Rhinolophus ferrumequinum: one gene and its partners. The protein of the gene in region 1 binds, or shares a complex with, the protein of each later gene. Links are inferred from orthologs where the notes say so. Each region holds a gene or a part of one and is shown in the gene's direction. Other genes may lie near its edges. The genes, in order: KL, FGFR3, FGFR4 and FGF23.

Region 1 (7,245 bases):
GCTGCATCAGAGACATTCCGAACTCTAATGCCACTGTCTTTTCAATCGTCTTGGGCTTGTCAGCGGTGTCTCAGGTGTACCACATACATCAGCACTTAAACTACTGCTCAGCGACATAGTTTTGTGTTCTATTTCTTGTTGTAGCATCAGAACTACCTGAAGTTTTAGTAGAGTAGGCTTGGGACGTGGCCTACCATAGCACGTATGCAGGATATCAAATATGGCACTGTTAGGACCATTTCTCTTTCTTGTGCTCAGGGAAGATGTTACCAATGAATCACAGCCTCCTTTAGAAGCCAGGATGTGGCTTCACAGTTCTCAACAATGTGCTTCGGCCATTTCTTACCAATTCATTCATTCATTCATTCGTTCATGTATTCATTCATTCCACAAATGTGTGTGGAACACCTATAACGTGCAAGCACTATTCTAGGTGTTGGAGATACTGCAAAGAAAAAGCCAGATTCCTATTCTCATGGAGCTTACATTCTTCGGCCATTTCTTACCAATTCATTCATTCATTCATTTGTTCATTTATTCGTTCATTCCACAAATGTGTGTGGAACACCTATAACGTGCAAGCACTATTCTAGGTGTTGGAGATACTGCAAAGAAAAAGCCAGATTCCTATTCTCATGGAGCTTACATTCTAGCTGGGGATACAGGAAGTAAACAAGTAAACAAACAAGATAATCTGAGATAGTCATAAGTTCTGTGAGGAAAATCATTGAGAGTCACTGGGGATAACAGCTCTGGACAGAGAGGTCAAAGAACGCTGCTCTCAGAATGTGGCTGCTGCTCTAAGACCTGATGAGGAGAAGAAGGCGGTCCCTGTGAAGAGCATACCAGAGACCGCAAACTGCCAGTCACAGGCCCTGAGGCTGGGAGCCAGTTCGGCTTGTTCCAAAGACAACCAGAAGGCGAGTGTGGCTGGAACAGAGGGAAGACTGGGAGAGCGGTATCAGAGGGGGGCAGGGTCGTTGGTCTATTTCATTAACTGCTGCCTGCCTCGTGCCTAGAAGAGGGGTCGGAACAATGCAAACATTAGTTTAAGGAGTAAGTGAAGGTCGAGGCTTTGATGCGACATAATGATAGAACCTATTACAGACCTTTTATGGTCTGACCCCTCGCTACCGTTTCAGTCCACTATTTCCTTGCACAGACTTTTATTTTTTTAAACCACAAAAACACGGTGAACATTGTTTGCTTCCATGTTTTGCTTCCTTATTATCCTTGCCTTCAGGTCGCCTTGCAACTTCTACTCTTTAAACCCCAAATGTTGTCACCTCTGTTCTGTGAAACTTTGCTAGCCCCCTCAAAACAAGACAATTTCTCCTTCCCCTGAATTCCTCTAACAGCTATCACATGTGTCATTTATTACTGTTTAACATAATAAACTACAAAACTTATTTGTTGTCAACTGTGTTTATCCCCTTTCTCTAATCCAGCATTATCTTTGAGGGCAGGGGTTGTCATGTAAGTCTTAAGCTCTCCACGGTGGCTTTGCCCACACCGTTGCTCAGAGTGCTGCTGCTGACATATATTAGTAACTCCCCGTGAGGCTGAATGACTGTGGCTGGTGAGCTGAATGCCCGTGAGGTTGGTGTTGTGTTTGGGCCCATGTGGGTCAGCGAGTCTCCTTCTGTTACCTTGGCCAAGGAGGGCTCCGGGGGACCCCAAGAGCACACAGGGCAAGAACTGGCCAGAAGGGACAGGATGAGGATGAAGGAATGTGTCAGCTTGATGACCCCCCATTAGGTTGTTGCAAATCATCATCACGACAAAAGTCAATAAGTCAATTTAAAATTTTCCTTTCCTTCAATGTACCAATAACTTCACATTCAAAACACAGCAAAGAATAAAACTCTTATTTGTGGGAGAACAAAGCATTGAATGAAATCCACATTTTAGATGTTCAAAGGTGGCTGTGAAAGGTAAGAACTGAACAAATGAGAAGCAGCAGTAGCAGTTAGTCACACTTCAGGAATCCCAGAACATAATAACCATGAACAGAACCTTGATAAACATTGAGTTCTGGAAACAAAGTTTAATTCTCATGTAATCTTTATCACTGGATTAAATAAACTATCACCTAGGAACATCCCTGCAAATGCTGAAAGCTTTGATGTCCAACTTAGAGGATATAGCACTTTACAGCCCCCTCAGAGAGAGATGAACTTTAAACGTGAAGCATTTCGTCAACTTGGTCTTTCTTTTTAATAACTTCTCTAAAAAATAACTTTTAGAAATGTATTGTTGGTTAAATAAAAGTAGCAATAGATACAATCTGCCCTGAGGAAACAGACCATACAGACATCACTCAGTGAACACTTAGCCAACACTATTTTCTGTGATACCCAGGAAGCATTTTTAATTGAAACTTAACAAGTTACAATGCAGCAAACACTCCAGTCTCTAGCTCTAGAAGGGAAATGTGATCCTGCATGCAGGCAGAGAAGCCTTTTAATTTAGCTGGAAGAGTGTGACTATGCAGTTGAGTAGTGTAATTTTTTTAATTGCTGAAGTGTCATTGTTTTTTTAGTTCACATTTAATGGAAAATGTAAATGCCACATGCAACAGAATAGCAAAAAGTCTTATTCCAGTCTGCGGGCTTGGTCTTACTAATCATGATAATACATGCTAGCTGGAGTTGGGACTATTTAATAAAATACCAAAATAAAGGTGTTGTGGTTACATTTTAAGGGAATTAATAAAAGTACCTTCATCTGTAATATTTAAAACTTTACAGATTTTAAATTTATATGAAACAGTGCAGGGGTGCTCACTGGATGAGAACGGCTGTACCTCTGGGAGGAGCTTCGTTCAACACAGGTTGACAGAAGCACACCCCATTGAAAAGGGAGGTACAGATATTAGCAAGATCTTACATTTGTCGGGGCTTTTCCTGGTTCAGTCATCTGTGGGCTTCACAAGTTTCTAAGGTGTCAGGGCAGACATGGCTATTTCCATTGGATAGATCAGGATCCTAAGGTGTGTCCTGGCCACGACCACAAAGGTGGAGCCCCGGCTTCCCATATACACGTATTGGAAGGGACACTGTGTCCCGACAACTTCTGTCAAAAGGGCTCTTTGGCAACTAGACAAACATCACGACTCTATTTTGTTGCAGAGGGAGTGGTTGCTTGGGCTAAATCCCTCCTCCCCTTTCTCTTCACAGCTCAGGTGACATTTGTGAGCCGCAGAGACCTCTGGCTCCACCACAGCTGTGTGCACAACTTCACACAGATAAGTTACTTGGCAAGCTAGAGCTGAAAGCGAAAACACATGATTATTCCTCAAAATGAATGAAAAACGGTAATAAACGTGAAAGACGGTTACTCAAAGTGGAAACGTTGGTGTTTTGTTTTCTTCCCTTTTTCTTTTTAGAAGAACAATCAACAACTGTCACTTGAAGCTCACCTAGTCAGTCTGCAAGATCTAATTAAAGAGCAAGCCCTGGTTTGAAATGGTTAAAGGATAACAATAAGAGAGAGAGGAAAGAAAGTTCTGAGGCAACCCATGCATCTCCCGTATCTTCCTAGACTGGGGCCTGCAGGACCGCCATCCAGCCCTGCGCGAGTGAGCGGCTCTCCGCAAGCATCTCAGCCACAGACTTGAAGGAAAGTCCGCCTCCAGCCCTCTCGCGACAAAGTTCCGACCTAGCTATCCCACCTTGCCTTCCCAACACGATTTCAGCCAATTCCTAGTAGGCTCTAGTCATGTCAATCTAACGCTTTTCTTGGCCTCCCAATGCGAGTAAAGAGAAAGCAGGTGCTTCCCGCTTGCGGACCCGCGAGGCCGGGCAAAGACCCCGGCCGCACTCGGGGAAAGTTGCTTGGCCGCCTTCCCTCCGGGACCCACGCCGGCTCGGTGCCTTCCTCCCGGAGCGCGCGCGGATGGGGAAGAGAAGGCGGCGCGCAGAGAAGTTGGGGCGCCCGAACATCCTCCTCGCTCCGGGGCGCAGCGAGGAACAGGTGTTTTCTCTCCGGCGTCCAGGAGGGGCGCCTGCTGCCCCCTGCCCGCGGTCGCGCCCCCTCCCCCGACACCTGCTTGCCCTTTGCGCCGGGTTCCTCCATTCCAGGGTGGGGGAGGCGCCGACTCGCAGGTAATTATTGCCAGCGGGCCCGCGGGGGAAGCGGGGGTGGGCGAGCCGGAGGGCGGCGGGCGGCGCGGCGGGGGGGGGGCGCGGGCATAAAGGGGCGGCGCGGGCCCCGGCGCCCCGCTCCAGCGCAGCATGCCCGCTCGCGCCCCGCCGCGCCGCCCGCGGCCGCCGCTGTCGCTGCTGCTGCTGCTGTTGGCCCTGGGTGGCTGTCGCCTGCGCGCCGAGCCCGGCGACGGTGCGCAGACCTGGGCCCGCTTCGCGCGCCCTCCGGCCCCCGAGGCCGCGGGCCTTCTCCACGACACCTTCCCCGACGGCTTCCACTGGGCCGTGGGCACCGCCGCCTACCAGACGGAGGGAGGCTGGAGGCAGCACGGCAAGGGCGCGTCCATCTGGGACACATTCACCCACCACTCCTCGACGCCCGCAGGCGACCCCCTGGTAGCCGGCCTCCCGTCGGGCGCCCCGACGCCGTCCCCGCTCGCCACCGGGGACGTGGCCAGCGATAGCTACAACAACGTCTTCCGCGACACAGAGGGGCTGCGCGAGCTCGGGGTCACCCACTACCGCTTCTCCATCTCGTGGGCGCGGGTGCTCCCCAATGGCAGCGCCGGAGCCCCCAACCGTGAGGGGCTGCGCTACTACCGGCGCCTGCTGGAGCGGCTGCGGGAGCTGGGCGTGCAGCCCGTGGTCACCCTGTACCACTGGGACCTGCCCCAGCGCCTGCAGGACACATACGGCGGCTGGGCCAACCGCGCCTTGGCCGACCACTTCAGGGACTACGCTGAGCTCTGTTTCCGCCACTTCGGCGGCCAGGTCAAGTACTGGATCACCATCGACAACCCCTACGTGGTGGCCTGGCACGGTTACGCCACCGGGCGCCTAGCCCCCGGCGTCCGGGGCAGCGCACAGCTCGGGTACCTGGTGGCGCACAACCTCCTCCTGGTGAGTTCGAGGGGCCAGGCGGAGGGCCACGCCGGGGACGGGGCCTCTGGAGACGCCAGGGCAAGAGGGGTGCCCGAGCCTTCAGCTCAGACGAGGCTCCCTATGAACCGCTTTGTGAGAGCGCACTCACCTAGGATTTGCACAGGGTGTAGTGACTGAGCAGTTCGGGCTTCCTTTGGAGCCCATTTGTCAGAAAGAAATTGGAATAGGTTTCTCCCGTGAGAAAAAAAAAAAAAAGGAGCTCCTTTCTCTGGGTGTAGAGGAATCCCTAGAGGTAAGGTGGGAGGATTTACTAGTAGCTTTGGGGAGAATGAAGATGGTGGATGAAAGAAACAAGCTTGTTCCGAAGCTGCCCAGACAGCATTTCTCTCAGCTGGAGTTTGTGGAGATGGCAGGAATTCAATGTTAATCCAATAAGATCTGTCTTGCTTGGGATTCAAGTTCACACTGCAGCAAATGCAAACGTGTCAAAATCTCATCTCTGGGAGAGCAGGTTTAAACTGTCTTTGGAAGTTCTTTCCATTCAACCTTACTTGTCAGGGGTGTGAAGACCCCCCAAAGTACTCTTAAAGCTAGCCATAAAAATACATACACAACTACAGGGGAATATAGACTGTGTCCTCCAACAACTGTATTTCCATGATGCTCTCTCCACTTGGCAGGATTCCTCTTGACAAAATGGATTTTAAGACCCTTGTACAAAAAGCTTAATAAATTTTGGCAGCAGGAAGTGTTGATATGCCATGATAAAGTTGTCTCCCAAACAATCCCCCTTTTCCTCCTTTACTTAGTGTTCAAGATTAGGTCCCATTGATTTGAGGATTCTTTTAGAGTGATGCCAGGTGTTGGTACACTTTATACAGAGTTTTGTATAGCAAGAGAATATGTTATGTATATGTGCGAACATTTTAATAAAAGTGTTTACGTGTTTTTGGAACTGTAGTTTGGTGACTTGTAGGCCCACTGCAAGACCTATTTTTAAATTTAGAATTAAGCCACATATTTTGAGCAAATTCAAGACAAAGACCACTTCTACATACTTTTAATTGAAGCCATAGATAACTGAGGTAGAACATTACTGGGTTATGGAGTTGATTCAGTACTCAGAGCTGCCAGTAATGTTGTAATAATGCTGAATAGATTGTTTGTCAGCTCCACAAAACCACAGATCATAAAAGAATGTTAGGTTTTTGGGGAAAAAATGCAATTTTAGTGATTTCATATTGCTGTATATCTTTTCATTAAGGTATGTTAGAGCAATGGTAATAAACTTTTTCATTCTTGCCATCCTTTTAAGGAATCAAAAGACCCTAAGCACTACCTGTTTATGGTTGGTGGTAGAAAAACTATTGGGAAGAACTGGCCCCCTCTTTTGAAGATAACATAAGCAAATTTCAGTTCATACCAGAAAAAAAAAAGAGAGAGAGAGAGATTCATGGACCAGCTGGAGGACCTAGTAGACCATTTCTGCAAAATCACTACTTTAGATTTAAATCACACGAGTTATATTTTTAGAGTGCATGTAATAAACTCTGCATGTATACAAAAGGTGTCACTTGCTATTTTAGTGACTTACATGATCACTTTATTTATAAGGTGAGGAATTGGGACAGCAGGAGTGTTCTGATGTTTTAAATAGTCAACATGCTTTTGATTCTTGTGTCCACTCTCTGCCCTGTGATTAACTTTTCACAAAATTAACTAATCACAAAAATGTGATTAACATTTTTGTACCCTTACACAAAAAAATTGGCCAAACACTAACCATTCTTCCCAGAAATGCAGTGGACTTTGTGTTCATAAGCTATTAGTGACAGGTGAACACTTGGTTTTCCTGATGCTGAAAACAAAATGCTAGTTGCTGTAAAATATTAATTTTGCTTTCAAATTTCTTTCCTTTGGAATTTAGTCATTTTTGTATCTTACGAAGCAAGGTGGCATTCATTATCAAAGACAATATCTTAACTTTTTTCATGAGATATTTTCATTCTGTTTTCTATGTTCTTTCTTGGTGTATGTGTTGGGGGAGGGTGGGGAAGTTTTGATCTTATTGGAAAAGATAAAACATATTCTGCAGGTTTTGTTAATAGAACATTTTCACTGGGCCTTGGATATTGCTGTTGGGGGCCACTCGCATATTGGGGGGCTCGCATATTCATTTTCATTTGGGGATCTGATGCTGGTGAAGGACAAAGCTGGC
Region 2 (7,131 bases), on another chromosome or scaffold:
TCAGCCTACCAGGAAGCTCAGAGCTAAAATTAAGGATCGTGACAGTAGCTAGTGGTGGCCAATGGATTTTGGAATATTTTCTCTTGTCCTTTTTCTTTAAAATTCCATTTCTGTTATAATGAGCAAATCAATTGTGCTTTTTTATTTTAACCCTCTTCAAATTTTCCAAGAATACATTTGAAAAGGCAGAAATTACCCACAATCCACAACAGCCACAGCCTCTCTCAAATTTGCTGTTTTTTCTTTGGGGGCTGGGGATCAGCCCAGCCCAGCTCAGCCCGTCATCGAGAGGCCCCCCTGCTCCATCCTGTGGTGGCTTGCCCTGTTCCCGGGACCCCGGCCCTGTGCCCTGCAGTGTTCCTGGAAGGTATGGATGTGCGCTGCAGATGGTGAGCTGCCAGGGGGAGATCGAGCAGACCCCCGGGGGTCCCAAGAGCTTCCTGGAAGAGATGGACAGGGAAAAAGGGACTTGAAGTTCCCTTGGGGCATCAGCGTCCCCTTCCCTTCTCTTGGCCTTGGGGCAGGACAGAGAGAATCTCCCACCAGCAGCGCTCTCTGTGGGCCAGGCACTCATCCAGAGGGGAGCTGATCAGGGGGCTCGCCTACCTTGGCACTAGCGCTGACGGGCACCTATCGGGCATTGTGGCAGCCACTGCCTGCCAGGAGCTCTGTGGATAGCAGGTGGGATGTGGATTAAGTCCACAGCAGGAAGGACACCGAGGCTGAGGGCACCTCACTGCCATGTCCCCAGCCTCAGCCCAGGCCTGGCAGGGAGAGGCAAGGTGGGGTAAACACAGGGCCAGCTGCACCCAGGGCACACTGCATGCCGGCTCCCCCCCCCCCGGCAGCCCTCTTGGAGCTCGAGCACAGGCCCCAGCAAGCCGGGCCATCTGGCTCTGACTCACCGACCAGGCTGCGTGGTGCTGGGCTGCCCTCAGCCCCCTGACTCTCTCACCTTGCCCTTGGCCTTCCACACTTACCTTCACTCAGGAGTCCTGGGGGTGTGGGCCTCAGGGAGACGGGGTGGGTGTATGGGGGAGTGGGCAGGGAGGTGTGAACACTGAGGGGTCTAGCAGTGTGGGAGTCCCCTGCAGCTGGCTGGCTGCCCCTCAGACTCCTGCGCCACCACACGCCCTCAGCGGGCTCTCTTCACTCTCGTACCTTGCTCACCTACCTCAGTTGGGCAGGTGCCAGACGATACTGCAGAGGGTCCTGGGGAAAATGCTCCGTCAGGGGGCTGTGGTGAAACAGTGGCTACTCGCGGCTCATTTAAGGAGAGTTGCCGAAATCTCGGACCTGTGGCAAAGAAGGCACCATGAACAAGGGGCCTGCGCCCACGTCATGGGAAGGCCTGTGAAGCATACCACACTCCAGGCAGCAGCGGACCTGGGAATAGGAACTTTATGTTGTCAATGATAATAAGAACAAGGGTGGACAAGTGGGTAGTGACGCCCTTGGCAGGCTGACAGGGGCCGCGCCTGGACCCTTTAGAAGTAATTTGGCCAACTCAGCCCAGAGCCACAAAAATACTCCTGACCTTTGACCTAAATGCCACCACTGAGCCAATGGAGAGGCCAAATGCAGGGACCACTTCGTTTGTGGGCGGGAACACCAAAGGGACCAGCCAGCACGAGGTGTGTGGTGGGCAGAATGGGGGCCTCCAAAGGAGCGGTCCTCAGCCTCAGCCTGCCCCCGGAACCTCACAATGCGACCTTATTTGGGAAAAGGGTTTTTGCAGGGGTCGTTAAGGGAAGCTCTTGTGATGAGGGGATCATCTTGGAGCATCTGGGTGGGACCCACCTCTGATGACAGGTGTCCTTATAAGTGCTGGGTGGTCATGTGACGATGGAGGCAGAGGCTGGAGCAATGCAGCCAGAAGCCCAGGGATGCCTGGAGCCCCCGACGCTGGAAGAGGCAGGCAGGAACCTCCATAGGGAGCCCAGTGCTGGACACCTGGATCTGACTTCTGCTTCCGCGACTGTGAGAGGAAATTTCAGCCAATCGGTTAGTGGTAATCTGTCATAGCCATCTGGGAAATGAAGACAGGGTGTGAAGAACTGAGGGTCAACCCAGGCCTATTAGTGGAGGAAGAGGGGGCTCACCACCCCTACAGGCCCGAGGGACGGGGAGAGGGGCAAAAGTGGAGGTGCCCATCCCCTGCCTCCCTCTGCTGCTACTGGCCATGCCCATTGGCGAACGCCACATAGAAGCTGGAGAGCAAGAGGGCCTGAGATACTGCATGGGGCTTGTGGTGGGGCTGGGATGGCTGGGAGAAGGAACAGGGCGGGGGGAGGCACGTAGAGAACAGCTCACACAGGCCCACACCCCACCACGAGCACTTCTGCTAAGGTCACAGTTCTGGGGGCAGAAAGCAGAAAGCTACAGAGGGATGGCTGCTCACCTCTCAGAGACCAGGAGGCCAGGGAGGGGCTGTGGGCGCCGTCCTGGGGAGGGACGTGCCAGAGACAATGCAGAGCCCTTCCTGAACCTCAGAAGAGCCTTGGAAGGCCAGGCCTCAGGTGCCGACAGCTGGCCCCTCCTGCCTACCCCACCCAGGCTGATCCTGCTTCACCTGCCAGCTCTTTCCACAAAAAAATGGGTGTGTGGGGGGGTCAAGCCCAATCCAGCCCCCCCCACTCCGAGAAAGGGGGCCAAGGGGACCAGCAGTCCACATCCATCCTGGCATACTAAGTTACTGATTAAGTAACCAGGTAATAGATTAGAGCAGAATGTGTCACTGTGGCCCCGGGGATGGCATATCCTGGAGGAGGACCTAAATGTGGGTGTCCTGGGGCTATGCACTGGAGGGGTCTGGACAGCCCACTTACAGCTCAGTGGGCCCCGCTCCGTCTGGGGTACATGGTCATAACCAGAGCAGGCAGTGATGGCAGCCTGTGGCAGAGAGGGGCTGATCTGCCAGGTGGGCACAGAGGGATGGGTGTGAGGGCTTCCTGGCGGTGGGGCCCATCTCAGGCCCTGAAGTCTGACCTCCGTGGCTTCTGGCAGCAGAGGTAGCACCTGAGATGTGGGTGGCCCCAGCAGCCAGTCAGAGGGGCGTTTATTGCTCATTTGCCTGGTGTGCAAACCGAGTCCTAGAAGCCACAGCCAGGGGGGGCCGAGGCACTTGGCTGGTGCCTCTGAGCCATGCCCAGGTGACACCCTCTCGCCTCTTTTGCTCCTGGAGGGCCTCAACACTTCTGGGCTTGCCTGAAAGTGGAAGAGACCCCTTGTGAAGTTGCGCTCAGAAGCTATAGTCACATGGGGTCCTCCCCAGCTCAGCTCTGCACCACCCTGCAGTGCCCCGGGGCCTGGCACATCTCAGGCCAGCTCAGACTTTGCAAGCAGCTCCCCTCGTGATCCTTCCTCAGAGCTCTAGAGTTGGCCCCCCACCTGGGGCCCCTAGCCCTTGCTCTCCATTCTGATGCCCGTCAAACACCCAGTCTCCAAACTTGTCACCTAGGGATGCAGGATAATGACTCCCTCTGGCAGGGAACTCAGGCAGCTTAGCTACATGTGCCACAGGTGCTTAATAAATGCAGCAGTGAGCCCACAGCTTCTGGGGTGCCGTCCTCTTGCACTCTGGCCCCAAGCAGACAGGCAGAGCGGCCCTTCACCCTCAGGCTTTTGCTCACAGCACCAGCCCCCACACCGTCCGGCGCTCCTGCACCCGAAGACCGGCTGCTCACATGTCTGGGTTCAGCGTGGGCAGCACCTTCTAGGTGAAGCCTCTCAGACATGCTTCACCCACCGAGACCACACTGAGCCCCCAATCCGCGGCCGGGTGGTAACCGGACTGCGCGCTGAGCAGAGGCCTGCTCTTGGCCTCCCTGGGCGCCTAGCGGTGCGAACCGAGACCTCACCCTTCAAGCCCCGGCTCCCACGCCCTCGGAGACCGCCCGGCGCCCCCGCCCGGCCCCGCCCGGCCCCGCCCCCTCTAATCCCCTCCGCGGGCGGGGACGAGGCGAGACGCGGCCCCGCCTCCGGACCGCCCCAGGGGAGGGGCGTGTCTCCGCTCCCGAACGCGCCGGGGCGGGCGGGGCCGGGGCGGGGCCGGAGGCGGGGCGCGCGCGGGCCGGCCCCCACTGGCTGCAGCGCGCCCGGCCGCCTAGGCTCAGTGCGCGGTGGCGGCGGCGGCGCGGGCATCTGGCGCCGCGCGGTCCTTCTCGGCCCGGCGCACGGACGCACCGGCGAACCGACGGCAGAAGGGACGGGGCGCAGGCGCTGGGCCGGCAAGCAGCGAGCCGAAGCAAGGGCCGCGCGCAGCGAGTTGGGCGCCGGCGGCCGCCAGGTCGGTGCGCGGGGGCCGGGCAGGCGCGGTGGGGTCGAGGTGGGCGCGCGGCGGGGCCAGAGCGCCCGGCGGGCCGGGACCCCGAGCAATCTCCATGGCGAGGCCCGGCCGGGGCGCGGGCTTCCCGCTCTGGAAAGTTTGCGGCCGCCGCCGCCCTGGGAGGGCTCAGCAGCAGCCAGGGAGGGAAGGGGGGAGGAGGGAGGGACCGCGGCGGGAGGAGGCGGCCGGCGCCAGGCGGCCAGGGTAACGAGCTGCCTGCCTCCTCCCGCAGACTCCCGAGCGGCGCCCTCCTCCCGCCGGTGCCAGAGCGGGGCCATGGGGGGCAGCATGCCCACGCGCTCCGCCTGAGAAAGCCGTCGCCCCTGCCCCCGCGATGGTCGCCCCGGCTTGCGTCCTCGTGTTCTGCGTGGCCGTGGCGGTTGTGACCCGCGCTGCCTCGGGGCCCCAGGGTGCGGAGCAGCGCGTCGTGCGGAGAGCGGCAGGTAAGGAAGGATCCGACGGGCACAGGAGAGGGGCCTGGGGCCCCGGCAGGCAGAGGGCATCGCGGCCGGGGAACGGACGCCTGGGTGGTGGGGCCGCGGATCTGAGTGGGTCCGAAGGCGCGTACTGGGCTGGCACCGGGAGGCCAGTGTCCGGGTTTCTGCCGCCCTTCCTCCCCGGCGATCGTGGCCAGAGCTGGCGCGGCAGTTTGTGGGGCGCCTGGAGCCGCAGGGCTACCACCCAAGTGCGAGGCTGAGGCAGGGAACTGGGCACGAGGTGGCGTCCTCAGCTCCCGCCCCCGCTCTTCCCTAGTGGGCGCAGTCTGCCCCCAGGCGCCATCGGGAGGGCGTGGGGGCTGCGTCTCCACGATTCCTATTGTTGTTCTGCGGGTTTTGCAGTGACGGAAAGTTTCTATTGTTGGTGCTGTTCCCCCAACCCCTCTAGGGCCCCAGTTCATGGCTAGCTTCGGCCAAAGCGAGGGGCAGGACTTTGGAGGGAGGGTATGAGAGTGCGTCAGCCCGCGGCCCGGCCCTTGCCACCCAGTAGCCTGCATGACAAGGCGACACCTTCTAGTGCCTCCGTACCCCCACCCTACTCTCATGTCCAGTGGATGAAGGTGTGTTCTCCCCAGAAGTGCGCGCCGAACGCCAGGGGGGACACCAGGAGGTGAGAGGGCGGACGTCCGAGGGACGTGGAGCCGCGGACCCCAGTTGGTGGTCAAGGTCCGGCGGGACGTCGAGGGTCTCGAGGAGGGCTCCGCCCGCTGAGCTAGGGCAGCGGAGGGGCGGAGCGCGTCTTTGCTCCAGGCCCCGCCCCGCACACGCGCCGCGGCCCTGGAGGTGTAGCGCTCGCCCCCAGCGGAGGCCGACCGGGCGATCCCGGTATCGCCGCACCTAACGCGCGCTGCCAGGCTCCGGGCGGCAGGGCGGAGACGCGTGGTCCGGCGGCCGACCGCAGGGAGCCCGCCCCTTGGGGACAGCCAACTCCTGGGCGCCGGCGAGTGGGCTGTGCGCACCCTGCCCCCTGCCCGGCGGCCGCGCGGAGGGAGGCCTTAGCCCGGTGAGCTCACGCCCCACCCGGGCGGACCCGAACAGCCGCTCCTTTGTACCTCGGCGTGGCTATAGACGCGTATTGACGGCGGGCGCCGGGGCAGCCTCGCGGGGAGGTGTGAGCGCAGCGGCTGCGGGCGCGCCGTGCCAGCGAGGCGGCGGCCGCCGGCAGGACACAGGCAGATGGCGGCCCGCCCCTCCCTGCGGCCCCCCCCTTCTCCGCGCCCCTCTCTCCGGCAGCGGCTGCAGCCTCCCGGAACAATGTCATTTTTTTATGAATGAAAGTGGGCCCAGCGCTTGAATGTGCGTGTCATTCAGCGGCGTGACAGAGGCCGTCGGGAGGTCAGCGCGCGCTTTTACGCCTGCTCGGGCGGCCCCCGCTTCCAGGGGCGCCGAATAGGCGGCCGCGGGGGGAGCCCTGCATTAGCATTCGCATTCAGATAAAGATATTACTCTCTACGCCCAGGGAATGTCAACTAGCTCCAGGGGAGGGGGCAGCGGGCGGGGCTCCATACCCTCTCCCGGACCCCCTGCTGCGCGCGGGGGTAGTGGCCTCCTCCATCCACCCCCCTTCCCGGAACTGGCGGTGACTGCGAGGCCCGGTCCTGGGACGCAGAGCCTGTGGTGCCCCCACCGGGTGCGGGCGTGGGTAGAGCGATAGGAAGAACCTCCAAGGATGCGGGAGGGGGCTGGGCGCCTTGTCCCTTGGCCACAGCCTTGGCGCCCCCGCACTCCCGTCCCCGCAGTAAAGGTGGTGAAACAGGTAGTGAGTTGATAGGTCAACAAACTTAATCCAGTTCCTTAAAGAGATGGGCCGGGCAGTAAAAATACAAAGGCCTCATGAAATTTCCAGAGGTCCGGCCTGGCTGGCACTTTCCCAGGATCATAAATTATGGAGCCAGAGCTGGCCAGGGTCAAGGACTCGGTGGGAAAGGTGTCAGCTTGGGACTGCCCTGGTCACCTCAGGCCCTACCAAGGCAGGGTCCTCCACACGAGGCCATGTTGTTGGTAAGGGTCTGGGCAGGGTCTCCTACCTGGAAGGGAGGTTGATGGGAGCAGCAGGACGCTGCCACCACCCACCCAGCCTGAAGGGGTCTCTTCAGTGCACTATTTCACCATTTCCCGGAAGGCATTGGCTGCAACCTCTCCCACTACCTCCTCCACAGAGCTGGACTTTGAGCCTCTAGGGCGTCTGGGTGGTTCATTAACCTGGGCTGAGCCCCCGGCTGGACTTGTGGCCTCTGAGCCCCTGCACTGAGCCCATGAGCGCCCCCTCCCTCCAGGGCCTCAGGTTCCACTTGGGGCCTGTCCACG
Region 3 (7,213 bases), on another chromosome or scaffold:
ATGGCTTTGTCATCTTCGGATAGAAACTGGACATAGAAGTGCCCGATGGGTGGGGAATGAGGAGATATGAAGGCTGGAGAAGGGGTGACCCTCACAGTCCCTCCCTCTTGGTCACAAGAGTATGTTTCCCATACCTTGGGGCCCATAGTTGTCAACATTAATATTGGCCACTCTTTAGTGAACATAGGCTGCGTGCACTGGGCTTTATATCAACACGCTGAGTTCTCACAGAAGAGCTGTTATTCCCATTTTACAGAAAATGAAACTGAGGCTTAACAGTAAGTGACTTATCCAAGGGCACCAAGTTTCAGGATTCAAATCCACATCTGCCTGGCTTTAACACCCAACCTTTCACCACTGCTCAGTTGCTGTCCACGTCACCTCCGTTTCAATGACTCAAGCCAGACTTCCCTGGAGCCTGTGGGAGAAGCCAGGGTAGAAAATGCCTGGAAAAATGGTAAAGTGAGAACAATGGTGAGTTCTGAGTAGCAAATGTATGCTATTACCCTGTGTACTTTTCTGTATTTTAAAACTTTCTCAAAATAAAAATTGTTTTAAAGGAAAGAAAGAAGACAAGGAATCCCAGGGCTGGGTCAGAGGATGGGCCAGGCCTGGTCTGGAGCGAAGCCTGGGCAGGGGCTCCCGGCGGCCCTTCGGCACAAGAGCCCCAGTGTTCCCTGGGCCCGGCTGCCATCCAAGAGCAACATGGTTGGCACCACGCTCCCAGGCAGGTGGGGGTGGGGCCTGGCCCAACCTGGCACTCCAGGAGCCCAGAATCTCCAAGCCCTGACAAGGGCCTTCATAGGTGCCCCATCAGTACTGGCCAAATGGGCAGGGAGAAAAACGCCTGGACCCAGCCCACCCTCCCCACTCACCCTCAGGTGGGTCTCCACCTTCCCGGCCACGTTTAAGGATGGGAGCAGAAAGTGTGTCCATGTGTTAGCAAGACAATCCCAGCTCCGTGGGGTCACCCTGAACTCTCCCTCATGGTCCCGAATGATCAGGGTTCAAGTCTCAGTTCTGTTGTTCGCTTGCTATGTGACTTCAGAGAAGTCATTCCATCTGCCTGAGCTTCCGTTTCCTCACCTGCAAAATGGAACTAAGGAACCCTACCCCCATTTGGCTTGGGGGAAGGGTCAAAAGATAGAATGTATGGGTGACACCTAGCCTGGCACGTGCCTGGCAGCTACCGGGAGCTCAGCCACGGCCAGGACTTTACTTCCTGTTTGGGAGACACCCATTCCCATCTCTTAACTCGTGCATTTCCTCCAACGCCTCTGAGGAAAAGGCAGCAGGAGTATGCCCATTTTCTGGATGGAGAAACTGAGGCAGAGGCGAGCTAAAGGCAGGATCTTAGGAGGGCAGACTCCTGAACCCTTGCTAGGGTGTGTGCGTTTGAAAGTCTTTGGGAGAGAGTACAAATGTGAACTGGTGACAGATGGTTAACAAGAGTGAGACTCTGAGGGGGAGACAGGCTTGGATGTGGACCCTCAACAGGTCTCCTTCTGTGCTGTTTACTTATATATCTCTCCCCACTACAATGTCAGCAGCTCCTAGAAGGGTAGAGGCTGGGTCTGATCACTGCTTTTCCCCGGGGACATTTGGCGAATGAATGAGTGAATGAATGAATGACCTTGTGAGAAGAGTGTCAGACACTGCAAAGGGTCAGTGTGAGAGGTTGTGAGTGTGGGCGGGGGGCCGGGTAAGTGATGTGTGGGTGCGCTGGAGTGGGGGAAGGTTGCCCATCTAAGGGATTTGACCATCTCAGGAGGCAGGCAGCCTTTGCCTTTGGCTCAGGTAAACTGGAAAGTTCCTGGAAGTTGAATGAAAGCTGTGTGGGGTCCAGCGCCTGCTGGCAGCCACCGGGCCCCCAACAACCACATTCACTACGAGAGCCAGAAGAGGACCAGAGGTGGGGGCTGCGTCTCTCCAAGTTTCTGGGAGTCTGGTGAGACCCCTTCTGGGAAGGAGGCTACCATTTGCTGGCACACCAGTGCCAGGCGTTTCAAGCTTCCTGGGTGCTCCAGCAAGGAGGGACCCCGGAGGCGGGGAACCAGGACAAGCTGTTTTTAAAAGATAGCAGCTGATTCTTTTCTGATTTATCTTTGGAAGGAGACCATTCTTTTGTTTGAGGAGGAAAAGAAAGATAAAAGAAACAAATCACTTTAACGAGCCTTTTAGTTATGCAAAGGAAAAGCTTCCGTAGGGGTGGAGAGACTAAGAGACTAGACGCCTTGCCATAACAATAGGAAAGGACCCTGCTTCCCCTTGGCCACTGGTCCTGGGCTAACTGGGAGGTGAGCTGAGACCCCAACTGAGGGGTTCCCTTTCTCCTCCAGGAACCTAGAGGAGCAAAGGGCTGGGACCTCAGGTTAGGGTTGGACAGAAGTCAAAGATCAGCTGACCTCCTATTTGGCCACTGTCAAGACGCTCAGGAGAGAAATGCTTGCAGGTAAGGCAGACTTGTGCCTGGAAGGGCAGAACTATTTGGGGGACACTTACTATGTGTCAGGCACTTGAGTTGTAACGGTGAAGTCTGGAGGCAGTTTCTGCCTTCCATTTACAAAATTAGCTATTTAGCTACAATTCTGGAACATGCAATTAAGAAATAACAGGTTCTATTAATACTTAAGCATCCCTATGTTCATTGCAACATTATTTACAGTCACCAAGATATGGAAGCAATCTAAGTCTCCAAAGATAGATGGATAAAGTGGTATGTATGTACAGTGGAATATTACTCAGTCATTAAAAAAAGGATCAAATCTTGCCATTTGTGACAACATGAATGGACCTAGAGGGTATTATGCTAAGTGAAATAAGTAAGAGAAAGTAAAATACCATATGATTTTACTTATCGTGGAATCTAGAAAACAAAACAATCAAAACAGAAACAAACTCATAGATACAGAGAAAAAAATTGATGGTTGCCAGATGGGAGGGAGGTTGGAGGAAGGGTGAAAAAGGGGAAGGGATTAAGAAGTAAAAATTGCCAGTTATAAAAATAGTCATGGGGATGTAAAGTACAGCATAGAGAATATGGTCAATAATATTGTAATAACTATGTAGGGTGTCAGAGAGGTACTGGACTTTGGGGGAATCCCTTCATAAGTTATATAACTGTCTAATCACTATGTTGTACACCTGGACCTAATAAAACATTGTATGTCAATTGTAATTGAAAATTTTTAAAAATTTGAAGGAAAAAAAAAGAAATAATAGGTCCTAAATGATCATAGCCTGCGTTACAAAGCAAGTGCTCTATGTCAGGCAGTGTTCCAAAGGCTTACATATACTAACATGTCTACTTTTTGCAACTGATTTTTGAGGCTGATACATTATCATTATACCCGTTTTACTGAGGAAAAAATGAAGACACAAATGGAGTAACTTGCCAAGGCCATGTGTTGATGTGCTGAGATTTGAGTCCTGCAATCTGGGCTCTTAATCACTTCACCAGCCCACCCAACCCTCCGCTTCTTTCTCCAGGCTCACAGGAGAGAAGACGTAAGAAGAGGAACCTGGCCAAGTCCAGAGGGCTTCTCTGAGGAAGTGAGCAGAGATCTAAGAATGAGGTGGAACTAACCAGACCTAGCCGGGAAAGATCTTTCTAGGAGGCGGAACCCCCAAGTGTAAAGCCCAGAGGTAGAGTGTGTGCAAGGAAGAAGTGAATGAAGGATTCATCTGGAAACGTGGGCAGGGGGCAGATTATGCCAAGGAAAGTTTGAAAGGGGTGATTGTGGTTGGTATAGTCAGATTTGTATTTTAAATACCACCCTGAAGGTTGTGCCGAGATTGGATGGGGAGGGGGTCAGAGGGGGTTTGCTAGACACTATATATATGGCTATTGCTAGGAAGACAGAGGAGCCAGGTTGGGCCAAGGTTAGTGGAGGCGGGGGCGGGGGGGCGCTCAGGACTGCTGGGTCTTGTTCCCCAGGGGTGACAAGCTGGAGGTAGAGCATAGACTAGAACTTCGAAGCCTGGCCTGGGTGGGGCGAAACAGGCGGAGTCTGAGGGGGTGTGCAGCGGACTGGGGGCCCCGGGATTGGGCTGGACCCGTCGGTCGCTCCACGCTGTTGGGTTCGGGGACTGGTTTCCAGGTGGGTGGGACTGTGCGCCACCCGCAGCCACACCGCTGTCAGGATAGAGCTGGTCCAGGAGGGGCGGGGCCTAGGTGGGCGGGGCGCCGGGCCGCCCGCGGCCACGCCGCTTTCGTGGGTGCATTCCTGGCTCTCCAGCCCGGGGCGGAGGAGCGCCCGGGCTGAGTCTGCGGTCCCCGCCGGGTTCGGGGGCTGGAGGGAGCTAGGAGCGGGGCCGCGGAGGACCCAGGTGAGCAGGGACCCTCTGCCGGGAGCGGGCCCGCGGAGGCTCGAGGTGAGCGCGGACCTGGTGCGGGCCCAGCCTGCGCTCACAGCCGCCAGGGGGCGAGCGGCGGCGGGGCTGCGGGAGCTGCCCCCTCCCAGTACTGGGGACCTGGGCGTCCGCTCGGCGGTGTGGGGGGGGTGGAGGGGACGGTAAATCAGTAACCCGCAACGCACACAGGGCCTTTTGTCCCACTCCGTCCAAAGAGCACCCTGCCCGCGGAGCTGGTTACTCATTGCCCACCCGGGCGGGGGCGGGCTGGCTGTCTCTGCAGCTCCCCCTGAGGACCCGCCGACTCGCACCTCCCCCCAGGGTGGCGGGGTAGGGGTGGAGGAGGAAGAGCGCGCCGGTCCCTCAGCTGCTGGACCGTCTGCGAACCCCGAGTCGAGATGAGAACGGTGAAGCTCCCAGAGGTGCAGTCATTTGTCCAGGGTCCCCCAGTGCTTGTGCGCTAGAGGCGAACGGGCGGCTGGAGGCGAACCCAAGACTGCCCGGTGCTAGAGTCAGGCCCTTCGGCCCCATGTCCGCGTGATCCAACTAAGGGCGCCGAGTTGCTGAGGTCAGGGTAGCCTGGGTGTGGAATAAAATCCCCAGACCTCCCCACCTCACTCCCAACCGGAGCTGTGGCCCCAGAAAGCTGCCCTCCCTGCAGAGGGGAGGGTGGGAGGATTTTTACAGAGGGTGGGAAACTGGAGGTGGGTGCTAAGACAGTGGCATCTGAGCCAGGTGTAGAAGAGAAATGGCACACAGGTATGAGCAGCAGAAAAGACGTGCCCAGTTTTGAAAGCCTGTGGCTGAAGGGGCTGACTGCCGGACCAAAGATCGGCCGGCCAAGGAGACCTAGGATGCTGGACAAACAGTGGGCACTGAATCCTGCTGGACACGGACAGTCATTAGAGCTCTGGAAGCTGGCAGGAAGGCGGTGACAGTTCCGGCTTGTAATTTTTAAAGCCCTGCTGCTGAGTCGAGGCTGGAGAGCACAGGGAGTGTTCACAAAGGCCCAAGTTACAGATGACCATGGCCTACTCTGGGTCCAGGCAGGGGATGTGGGTTGTCCTGGAGAAGGATTGAGGAAGCAGAATGGACTAGAAGTTGGGAAGGGCAGGGAAAGGGATGATGCTCCAGCTACAGGTGCAACCCAGGAAAGAAGCAGTTTGAAGAGGGAGATAATGGCTTTGGCCAGGACGAGCTAAGTACCCCCTGCCTCAGAGCCAGAGCTGGACTGGGTTGGGGGCAGCAGCTGAGGCGAGAGGGTGCAGTGGCCTTCCTGGGCAAGGTAGATCCAGAGATAACAGTGCCACCTAACTGTTACCTAGCCCCAGGGAATAGGCAGTAGGCCCCTCGGACCACGCTGGTCACCCTCTTCCCCGCCCCACCTGATGCTTGGGTTTGAGTGTTCCTTTTAGGGGTTGGAGACATCCTTAGTGGCCTCTGGAAGAGGGTAACCAGATGGGGTGGGTGTGTACATCACACCTAACAAGAACAGTGCCAGAACTGGAGGTGACTGGCCGAGGGCAGACCCAGAGTACCCGTCCTCCTGGGGAGGGGAAGGGGCAGGGGAACATTCCAACATTCTATGTACCCAGCTCCTGCATATATTCTCTTTCGTCCTCAATGCAGTCCTGTGAGGACAGCGGCCCAGACGGGGCCAGGGACTTGCAAGTTGATAAGTCAGCATTTGAACCTGCTTTTGTCAGACAGCAGAGTCTATACTCTTTACAAGAGCCACTGTTGCCTGAGATGAGGTTGTGGAGGAAAAGCAGAGGTATTCCCAGGATGCTATTCTGGTGCCAAATGAGGAAGCACTTCTGCCGGCCATGGGATGGGCTGCTGTGTTAGTAGTGAGCACCCTGCCACTGGACGGATCCAAAGCTGGTTGTGAAAATGTCAGCGATGCTAATAAGGAGTGGGGGTCAGATCAGATAACATCCAGATGCTAAAGTTTGGCCTTGTTTTATATTTCAGATTCTCCCCCCCCCCCGCTCTTCAGCAATAAATTCATTTATTCAGCAAAAAAATAAATTATGTGTGCTGAGAGCGAGCAGAAGATATGTCTTCATTCTCTGCTTGCCTCCAAGGAAAGAATCCCCAAACTGCCCTTTCTGTGAACTTGTGCCAGGGGCTCAGCAGGACCCTCGGAGAGCAGGAAGCCCCACCTCGCCTCCCTGCACAACCTCCTGTGGGGCAGCCTTGGGCTCTGCAAGAGCAGACCTGCTTCCAGTCTGCCCTGCCGCTTGCGGGGGAGGGGGTCTCGGACAAATGGCCCGCCATTTCCTGTCTCAGTTTTCTGATCCACAAAATAGGGGAACAGCGCCAGCCAAGGTGCACATGAAGCAGGGGCTCCTCTCCCTCCCTGTTTCAGGAAGGCCGTTGGTGGGAAGCCCAGCCTGGGCCCCGTGAGCAGCAGGAAGGAGATGCAGCTACTGTTGGCCCTGTTAGGAGTCCTGCTGAGGGCGCGCTGGGCTCCAGCTTTGTCCTTTGAGGCCTCTGAGGAAGTGGAGCTGGGTATGACCTCTAAGGTGGGAGAGGGTGGCAGGGGTGGGAAGAGTGGGCACCAGGAGGGGACTGCTGGCTGAGCAAAGCTGGAGAGGATCCTGGCCCAAGCCCTGAGAAGGTGGCAACAGGGTAGGGCCCAACCACTGAGACTCAGTGTCTGGCTCCCAGCAAGCATCCACCTATCTCTGTGTCCACGTGAGAGGACTGGCCTTGCAGGGCCCAGGGCCCTGATCTGGGCTGCAGAGCTGGTGGTGAGCCCCTTGGCTGTGTGTGTGCGCGTGTGTGTGTTCTGTGTACTGTGTGTAGCTTGGAAGGCCCAGGCGGCACATGTGTTGTATACACTGTGAGAGTGATG
Region 4 (7,926 bases), on another chromosome or scaffold:
GCAATTGTTGCCAGTTTGGCTCAAGTAAACTCATAAAAATTCTCTATAGGTTTGAACATTTCTTACATTGACACAGGCACAAGTATATTCTCCTTTTTGGAAGATGAGGAAACTGAGGCTCAAAGAGGTGAGGCAACGTGATAAAGAGAGCATAGCTGATATGGGGCATAACTTGGTTTCTGACCCAGTCTGTCTAACACAGGACCTGCGTAATTCAATCACAGGACTGTATTAACTCTGAGCTGTGCTAAAGAAAAATGACTCATGCCAGGAAAAAGGCGAGATTGGTTCCGAGTACAGCAAACTGCTGGAGGTGTGAGGAGGCTGAGTTCTCGCCTCTCTCCTTAGACACCCTGCTCCTCCCAATCATGTGGCAGGAGCATCCTGTCCACCCCCCACCCCCACGTCTCAGCAACCATGACCTCCAACAGGCTGGGGGATGCCTGCCTCCGGAAGCCCCAACATCCTGCACTCTGCTGAACCCACAATGTGTCAGGCCGCCCGTTCCAGCTGCAGAACACAGCCGGCCTGACCTGACAGGCTGGGGCTGAATTACCGGCCCCTCAGCTAGAAATAGCCCTCCGAGAAGTTGTGGTGGCTACGTGTCCACAGGGAGGGGAGGAGGCAGGGCAGGGGAGCCAAGGAGTCCCAGGATCCTGAGATAACATGGTCCGGATGTGCAGAGTTCCAAACATGGTGGGCTGGCCTGGGTCACAGGCTCCAAGGAGGTGAGTGGGAACCAGGATGTCTGCTCCCTGACGTGGGCAGCGTGACAAGCCCCAGGCATCCTGAGAGGGCGGGCTGGGTTCCGATGGGCAGCCTTGGAGCACCAATCAGGTCAGACGGACCGTGTGTATCCAAAGTGTCTATTGTTCCTTCCTTGGGCAGAATCCAGCTTTGGAATCATCACTGTCATCCCTCTCGTTTTGGTCAAAGGCACAGAACGGGATAATGGGAGAAGCGGCCTGACAAAACTTCAGGCAGAGCAATCAGACATTGCTCCTTCTTCCCCCGCCTGGAAGAGAGCAGGTATCTATCTTCTACTTGAGTCCCTTTCTTCAGCACAGAACAGAAATGAGACCCATACAGGTGAAGATGAGCTTGCCAAAGGCGGCTTCCAGGACTTCTGCCGCCAGGGTCTGCTCTTCCACTACACGACATGAGTTGGGAAGGGTAAGACCCAGACCGGAGACAAAATAGTTGTGCCAGGAATGATTCCAAAACCTTCACTGTGGGCACTTAGAGGAGTTAACATCCCGAAGTGGGGAAAATAAAACTATGGGAAGCCAAGCAGTGCCATGCCTGGGCCAGTGCGAGGACTAGGGAGGCAGGGAGGCATGTGTGCGCAAAGCGGGCGTTTCCTTTCTCTCCATAGCACCCCATGTTCCAAGTGTTACCGACGAGGCAGGAGCGAACTGTGCACGGCAGGTGAAAAGAGTCACCCAGCTGGTCCTGAGGCAGGCTCAGAATCCAGGTGGCCTGATTCCCTTCCAATGAATAAATGTCACTGTGGTGTGGTGGGGGGACTCCTGCTGACAGTGAGAAGCCTGATTCTGATACTAAGTGTCACCTTGGCTAAGTCACCTCTGGTCCTCAGTTTTCCCTCATTGTAAAAACAGAAAATAATGAGGATTTCTTAAGTTCCCAACATCCAATTATGAGATTCTACGTTTCTATGACCCACACAAAGAGGAAAGTGAGGGAAAAAGAGACCTTTTGATCACGCTGGTTGGGGGAGTTAGCAGGGGAGGAAGAGGAAGAAAATGAAGAGGAAAGGGAATGGATTCACAATTCGTAAGTCTCCCAAGCTCGGAAAACGCCAGGTGGGGTTCTGATTCAGAAAGGCACAAAGAGGAGACGGGTGCTGAGGGGGACTGGGTAGGGAAAGCTGGGACCTCAGTTACCCCAGCAAGGGCCATGAAGTGCCCAGGCTATGAGGTCTGGCAAGCCACAGGGATATGTGCAGGAGTAACAGTTTGGGAGCAACCCCCTCCAAGGAGACCATTTCTGTAAGGGACGTGTGAGACGATCATTATGAAAGTATTTTGAAAAGTTAAAAAGTGCTATTTCTATAAAGTAAAAAACATTTTCTTGGAAGGTAAATAGTGTTGAAGAGAAACAAAGGAGAGTCAAGGAGCCCTCTGGAAATGTGAGTATGTGTAGGGTTTGAGGAAGGAGGTACAAACTCATAAACTTTACACTGAGAATCATTAATTCAAAAGCTGTGTCTCACACGCTACCTCCACCCCACGTGTGGCTTTCTTCTGAGGGAAACAAGCATAACCCAAGTGAAACTTTTGTGAAATCATTCACACGGGCCTGGCCTCTCCCAGCCTGGGACACATGTCGCCTTATCTCCCCCAAGCTGTAGAGGTGGAGGCCAGGAGAGGGTTTCCAGTGAGAAGGGTGTTAGTGGAGAATGGGGTGGGGGGGTCGGTGGGGAAGGAAAGGGGCTTGGGGCTGCAGCTGGGGATCAATCGCTTGGACTTCTCCTGTGTCCTCTGCCCTCCAGCTCTTCTATGACCTTTAATTTATTGGGGTTCCCCAGTGAAAGCATCTGCAGTGCTCTAACCCCTCTGTGTCCAGCAAAATATGCTTCTGGTTATGGCACCAGAGGCAAGATAGCAGTGGCACGGATCCTGTAATATTACAGAAGTCATTTGTATTTCACTTCAGACTGTATAATAAGGGCTCTATTTATATGTTTAGATTTCCTTTTGACTACATCTGTTGGGCTGACACTGATGTTATAATGATCTATAATATTAAATTATAAAATATATAATTACATACATGATATTAAATATTATATTAAAGGCATCTGCCTTGCTTGAGTTTATCCCTAATCCAGTGTGGACATTATAAGCAAGGCAGGGGAAGAGAATCGAGCCAGCCAGAAGAGAATTTAAACACTTCCAGGCACCATTCACAGGTGGGTAACTGTGAGGTGGATGATCAAGTGTAGCAGGTGACAAAGCAAACACTTGGGGGGTGGGGGCTGGAAGACAAGACAGTGTCCTACACCTAGGATCATTCTGTGAACACCTTTAAAGAAGACTGTTGTAGCCATGAGCATTTAAATGTCCTAAATCTCCTATCTAACCCGAGAAGACTGCACCCTGCCCCGTAGAGACACATGCTGGGCAAAGGCTTGGGTTTGCTAGAGAAAAACTGAAGCATACTATGCCTCTTTGTTACTTGCACTTTCTTACCGAGCCCTTAGCTCTCTGGCTTTTTTCTTAACATGTTGTGGGGTTCATACATCTTCTAGCAAAGTGCTTAGACGGTCTGGAGTCAGACTGCCCAGATTCCAATTGGACCTCTTCCACATATCAGCTGTACACCTTGGGGCACATTACTTAAACTATGTGCACTAGTTTCCTCATCTCTATGAAGGAAATGGCAGCATCTCTTTAACGGGTTATTATGAAGATTAAATGAGTTACTACAATAAAGCACTTAGTTAAGTACTCGATACATGTTAGTAGCAACTATGGTTATTATTGGAGAAACAGCTTTGGGAATCAGAAGACCTTGTCCTAGTTCCCCCATTTATTTGCTTTGTGACTTTGGACATATGAACCCCAAGATCTCCATTTCTTTGTGTATAAAATTAAAATATTGGTAATGCCGGGTGTGCCTGTCTCACAGAATGGCAGTAAGATTCAAATGAGTTAATACAGAGAAAATGCTTTGTAAATTATAGAAACTCTAAGAGAAATGACACGTCCTGTGTCCTGCACCTATATCATTGCACAATCCATCATGTTTTGTATATGTTTACTTATTTTTATCTGCCTCTTCCATGAGCCTGTGAGGTCCTGTATGCGGGTATCACATCTTGCTCGCTCTTCTACCAACCACGATGTCTAGCCTGATGCCTGCACATGGTATGAATGCATCAAACGGGAAATTGGGAGAGCCACAACCTCCTGTTGTGTATGTTTTCGAGTATGCATTCCAGTGGCTTGCTCCGCATTGGACTGCATGTGCTAGGACTATCCCTCCACATCAGATGCAGCTTCCCAGAGGACACACCTGTGAGCAGCATCTGTGAGAAAGGGTCCAGTCCCAGGAGCCAGACACCCATAGGACACTCATTGTGGGGACAGCCTAGCCTGCTACTGCACTCCTGGGTCCTTCCTGGCCTCTGACCTCCTGTGCTCAGCCAGCGGTCTTCCAATCTTCATGAGGTCTCTGAATTAGTCTCCAAACTATTGGAGAGACCATAATACTTGCCCTAGACAGTCCAAACCAGGGACACTGAGAAATCAAACCTCAGCATTTTGTAGAGTAGCAGTGACTTCAAAGCGTTGTTTCTTTCTTCCCATTTTGAACTCTTCCCAAAATGGCAACTTTGGTTTTTGCACCTCTACTCATAGCTCCCATGTCTTCAGGAGGAGATGGGTCTCAGAGGGTACCATTTGCCTGATGGTGCCCTGTGTTATTTCTGTATCCTTCAAAACACCCAGCTAGTGCTGTGCACAGAGAAAGCCCTGAACATATAGTTGCCGAATGGATTAAAAGAACTGAGAAAACCAAAATGAATAAACTCAATGGGAGATTAATTGCACAGGAGTCTGTTGACCGCATGACTGAAGATGGATTTTTTCGGAACCACTGGCTGCCTTCACATTTCCTGCTGGAAGTGGGACAGGTCAACAACAGACAACCCAGAGTCGTAGATAACTTTTGCCCACACATCATTCACTTTTTGGAGCGTTGGCTTGAAATTGAGGGGTTTGTGTGCCTGTGTTTCTGGAACCGACGTGCCTTCCGTGAGCCCTAGAGGTCTCTGCACTTTCTTCAAATGGGCTGATTACAACACAGAGGATGTGGACAGTGGAGTTTTTCCTGTTTGATGTCACACTGCTACCCTTTAAAAGTCCGAGGGAAAAAAGGAGGGAACCCAGCCTGGGATCCTCACACCAGATCCCCACAAAGAAGAAGAGGAGAAAAAGGCCAGGGAGGCCAGCCCACAGTCAGGGGGCAGTGTCAGGTTTCAATTCTGTGCCAGCCACTCAGAGAGCAGTGATGTCGGGGCCCAGCCTGGGGCTCCTGGTCTGCATCCTGTGCAGTGCAGTCAGAGCCTTTCCCGATGCCTCCCCACTGCTCGGCTCCAGCTTGGGTGGCCTGACCCACCTGTACACGGCCACAGCCAGGAACAGCTACCACCTGCAGATCCACAAGGACGGCCATGTGGATGGCACACCCCATCAGACCATATACAGTGAGTAGGGGCTTCATTCTGGCTGTGGAGAAGGGGGGTTCTGTCCATCCACCTACAAGGGACTTGGGGATACCTTGCATTAGGTCAGAGGGCTAATCCAGCCTCCTAGCTTCTTGCCCAGGACCTGTGTGTGTGTGTGTGTGTGTGTGTGTGTGTGTGTGTGTGTGTGTGTGTGTGTTTAAACCTTGGGAGAAGATTCTGCCACCTCCCTAATTAGTATTTACTGGTTTCTCCCAACATGAATAATTTGTCTTAACTAAAATCCCTCTTCCCACAATAGCAGCCACTTTCTCTTTGTCCTGTCCAAAGAGGTCAAAAAATGTGCAGAAAGAGCAGCAAGAAGGCTAAGAGAAAAAAGGCAGATAGGTCAATAAACGCTGAGTTTTAGCTCATGAACTTTGGACTGGGTTAGCAATGGAGGTTGTGAAGAAGATTCCACACCAAGGTTTGGGATAGATGAACTCAGCGGCTCTTTGCAACTCCAACTCTGAGCTTCTTGTATTCTGGCCTTACGAAAGTTATCAGGAAAAATGTATTAAAGACAGGCTATCCAGGTATATTGTCTTGGTGAGTCTGATCAAGTATACAAGCCATTCATGCACTCATCTGTCTGTGCATGCGTGCATGCATCCGTCCAGCCATCCATCCAACAGGTTTACTGGGAGCTTCGAGGTACTTTGGTATGAATTACTGACTCTTCTCTGTGGAGCTGACAGGTCCATTCAGTAGCAGATTAAGCTAGTTGGAAACTCTTTGCCTACACAAGACAACTGGAATGTTTTTAAAGATTAGGTTTTTGAAAGTTGGTTCACCCGTCCACAATAGTCAATTATTTATTATTCAAATGAGGGTCTCTTGGTTGCACCTTTATAAAAGATAACAGGGTAGGAGGGAGGATGGATATTGAAAAAGACAAGATCTTCTATTTTATGAAAATATGTAAAAATTACTCTAAGGAAACAGAAAAATGCACACTGATTCAATATAGATCAAATTAAAGGAACAAAAGAATAATCACAGTCTCTGTTTACTCAAAGAAAACTTCTTATAGGAATACCAATTTACTCTTCATTATTATACTAAATTACTCAGTAATTTTGCTGTGACCTTGCTGTATGCAAGACACTAATTTTGCTAAGAATCAAAGGTCCTTAAACCTGGTGGCAAGATACATGCACATGCAAAGCCAACAGTTCAAACTTTTGCAAGCGTTCAATGAGTGGTGATAGGAGGTGAGAGGAAGGAGAAAAGGTCTGTCCAAATACCAAACAGATTCCAGAACTCACATAGATACAGTAGAATTCAGGAGTCAACATCTTGAAAGCCAAGTTTGAGTCTAACGGCAAAAACCTGCAATAAATCTGGATACACTTGAGGCACCCAGAGTGCCAGTCATATTATCCAGTGGATAGTTAACAGAACCTGTGATGTGTGTGACATCATACAAAGCTCTGTGACTACAAAGGAAGACACAGCATAGCGGGCCACCCTCACTTCCACTGCAAGGTGATAAGTGATTTAAAATGCATGACAGTGAATTATGGTAAATTATCTTGATTCCCATAGATGGAAAAGACTTCATACAACTAGAGAATGCTGATGAAACTTGTCCAGAATCATGGACTCCCTTCACTGAAAGACATGTCCTCCTGAACACGACATAGAGAGGAACAGTGTGTGCCAGCTGTGATGGGCTCACTGCTGCAGCGTGGGGCCCAGGCAAGCACCGGGGAGCAGGCAGGCAGAATTGTAGAACTTTCCCTCAAATATCCATGGACCGCAGGCCCACAAGAGGCACTGAGCACTAGTTGGAATTAATTATTAGGTTGGTGCAAAAATAATTGTGTTTTTGCAATTATTTTAAACATTTAACCTGCAATTACTTCTTTTTTTTTAGTATTTTTTTATTATTATTTTTTAATTTATTGGGGTGACAATTGTTAGTAAAATTACATACATTTCAGGTGCTGCAATTACTTTTGCACCAACCTAATAAAATGACTGAAAAGAAGCGAAATGAATTGAACTGATTTCAGATTTTTTTTTTTGACAGAAAAGTGATTTTGTTTTGTCAGATATAGATACTAGCTAAGCACTGTGCCTCTGGATATCAACACAAACCTAGGGAGGGGAACTCAGGTCAGGGTGGTGGAGGGAGACAGTTTTCTTAATTTATATACTCTTTTGTGCTATTCAAATCAGTTATCATGTGCATTACCAAAAATTATATGTGTATATATATATATATATATATATATATATATATATCCTGAAATGAAGAGTTATCAAAAGGAGAGAGGAAACATTGGTGCATGTAGGTAGGTAGCACAACTAATTAACAGAGGATTTATAATTACCGCCTCAGCGAGCATAAAGCAATACTTTTAAACCAACAGGAAGGTGTGGAATGGTTTTCTCCCCTCCTAATTATTTATAGACTTCCAGTGAAATGTTTCGTTTGATTATTGTGCTTTTTAGTAAAGTCTTGATTAATAGTCAAGAGCCCAATCGGTCTTCGGGTTGCTGGTCACTGTGACATTATCTGCCGACAAGATTCTATAACTTCCTTTCAGACTCACAGCGCTCGTGTCTGGGAGCCTCTCCCGTGTCCCCATGTGCTGTCCTACTGTGAACAGCACCACCCTCCCATTGCCCACTAGCCCCATTTTTGGAGGCAGCAGAAAAGAGATGCTTCT

The links.
Region 2: the proteins of KL (region 1) and FGFR3 are in contact, whole or in part, in a cryo-EM structure (PDB 7YSU), measured with the Homo sapiens proteins. The link is inferred for Rhinolophus ferrumequinum from reciprocal best matches to the Homo sapiens genes KL and FGFR3. Residues at the interface, in NP_004786.2 of Homo sapiens: Ser539, Gln540, Phe541, Thr542, Asp543, Asn545, Val546, Tyr547, Leu548, Trp549, Asp550, Val551, Ser554, Lys555, Arg556, Leu557, Val563, Lys566, Arg568, Tyr571, Val573, Ala576, Pro580; in NP_000133.1 of Homo sapiens: Gln286, Leu288, His290, Val291, Val293, Gly299, Thr303, Pro304, Tyr305, Val306, Thr307, Val308, Leu309, Lys310, Glu320, Leu324, Ser325, Leu326, His327, Asn328, Val329, Glu332, Asp333, Thr338, Leu340, Phe347, His349.
Region 3: the proteins of KL (region 1) and FGFR4 are in contact, whole or in part, in a cryo-EM structure (PDB 7YSW), measured with the Homo sapiens proteins. The link is inferred for Rhinolophus ferrumequinum from reciprocal best matches to the Homo sapiens genes KL and FGFR4. Residues at the interface, in NP_004786.2 of Homo sapiens: Ser539, Gln540, Phe541, Thr542, Asp543, Asn545, Val546, Tyr547, Leu548, Trp549, Asp550, Val551, His553, Ser554, Lys555, Arg556, Leu557, Ile558, Val563, Thr565, Arg568, Tyr571, Val573, Ala576, Gln579, Pro580, Glu625, Arg628; in NP_001341913.1 of Homo sapiens: Asp266, Gln282, Leu284, His286, Ile287, Ile289, Gly295, Ala296, Asp297, Gly298, Phe299, Pro300, Tyr301, Val302, Gln303, Val304, Leu305, Lys306, Asn311, Ser312, Glu314, Leu318, Tyr319, Leu320, Arg321, Asn322, Asp327, Thr332, Leu334, Leu341.
Region 4: the proteins of KL (region 1) and FGF23 are in contact, whole or in part, in a cryo-EM structure (PDB 7YSH), measured with the Homo sapiens proteins. The link is inferred for Rhinolophus ferrumequinum from reciprocal best matches to the Homo sapiens genes KL and FGF23. Residues at the interface, in NP_004786.2 of Homo sapiens: Phe377, Lys385, Leu389, Glu390, Pro392, Trp417, Phe418, Ser420, Lys429, Tyr432, Tyr433, Lys436, Phe437, Arg468, Ser471, Ile472, Arg556, Arg693, Asn694, Met695, Thr696, Tyr697, Ile735, Val752, Phe755, Asp756, Asn782, Asn783, Leu785, Ile812; in NP_065689.1 of Homo sapiens: Leu39, Met74, Ala80, Val88, Arg91, Leu166, Ile167, Phe169, Asn170, Ile173, Arg175, His177, Asp184, Ser185, Glu186, Arg187, Asp188, Pro189, Leu190, Asn191, Val192, Leu193, Lys194, Pro195, Arg196, Ala197, Arg198, Met199, Thr200, Pro201.

What each region holds. Positions count from the first base shown.
Region 1 is NC_046287.1:96,186,866-96,194,110, reverse strand, and holds the start of KL (klotho), read left to right. Parts: upstream 1-4,235; coding exon 4,236-5,045; intron 5,046-7,245. UniProt on the Homo sapiens protein: May have weak glycosidase activity towards glucuronylated steroids. However, it lacks essential active site Glu residues at positions 239 and 872, suggesting it may be inactive as a glycosidase in vivo.
Region 2 is NC_046288.1:87,185,516-87,192,646, reverse strand, and holds the start of FGFR3 (fibroblast growth factor receptor 3), read left to right. Parts: upstream 1-4,126; 5' UTR 4,127-4,288; intron 4,289-4,559; 5' UTR 4,560-4,661; coding exon 4,662-4,770; intron 4,771-6,851; exon of another isoform or gene 6,852-6,985; intron 6,986-7,131.
Region 3 is NC_046307.1:5,528,730-5,535,942, reverse strand, and holds the start of FGFR4 (fibroblast growth factor receptor 4), read left to right. Parts: upstream 1-4,205; 5' UTR 4,206-4,329; intron 4,330-6,724; 5' UTR 6,725-6,776; coding exon 6,777-6,867; intron 6,868-7,213. UniProt on the Homo sapiens protein: Tyrosine-protein kinase that acts as a cell-surface receptor for fibroblast growth factors and plays a role in the regulation of cell proliferation, differentiation and migration, and in regulation of lipid metabolism, bile acid biosynthesis, glucose uptake, vitamin D metabolism and phosphate homeostasis.
Region 4 is NC_046293.1:86,507,813-86,515,738, forward strand, and holds the start of FGF23 (fibroblast growth factor 23), read left to right. Parts: upstream 1-4,923; 5' UTR 4,924-5,034; coding exon 5,035-5,230; intron 5,231-7,926. UniProt on the Homo sapiens protein: Regulator of phosphate homeostasis. Inhibits renal tubular phosphate transport by reducing SLC34A1 levels. Up-regulates EGR1 expression in the presence of KL. Acts directly on the parathyroid to decrease PTH secretion. Regulator of vitamin-D metabolism.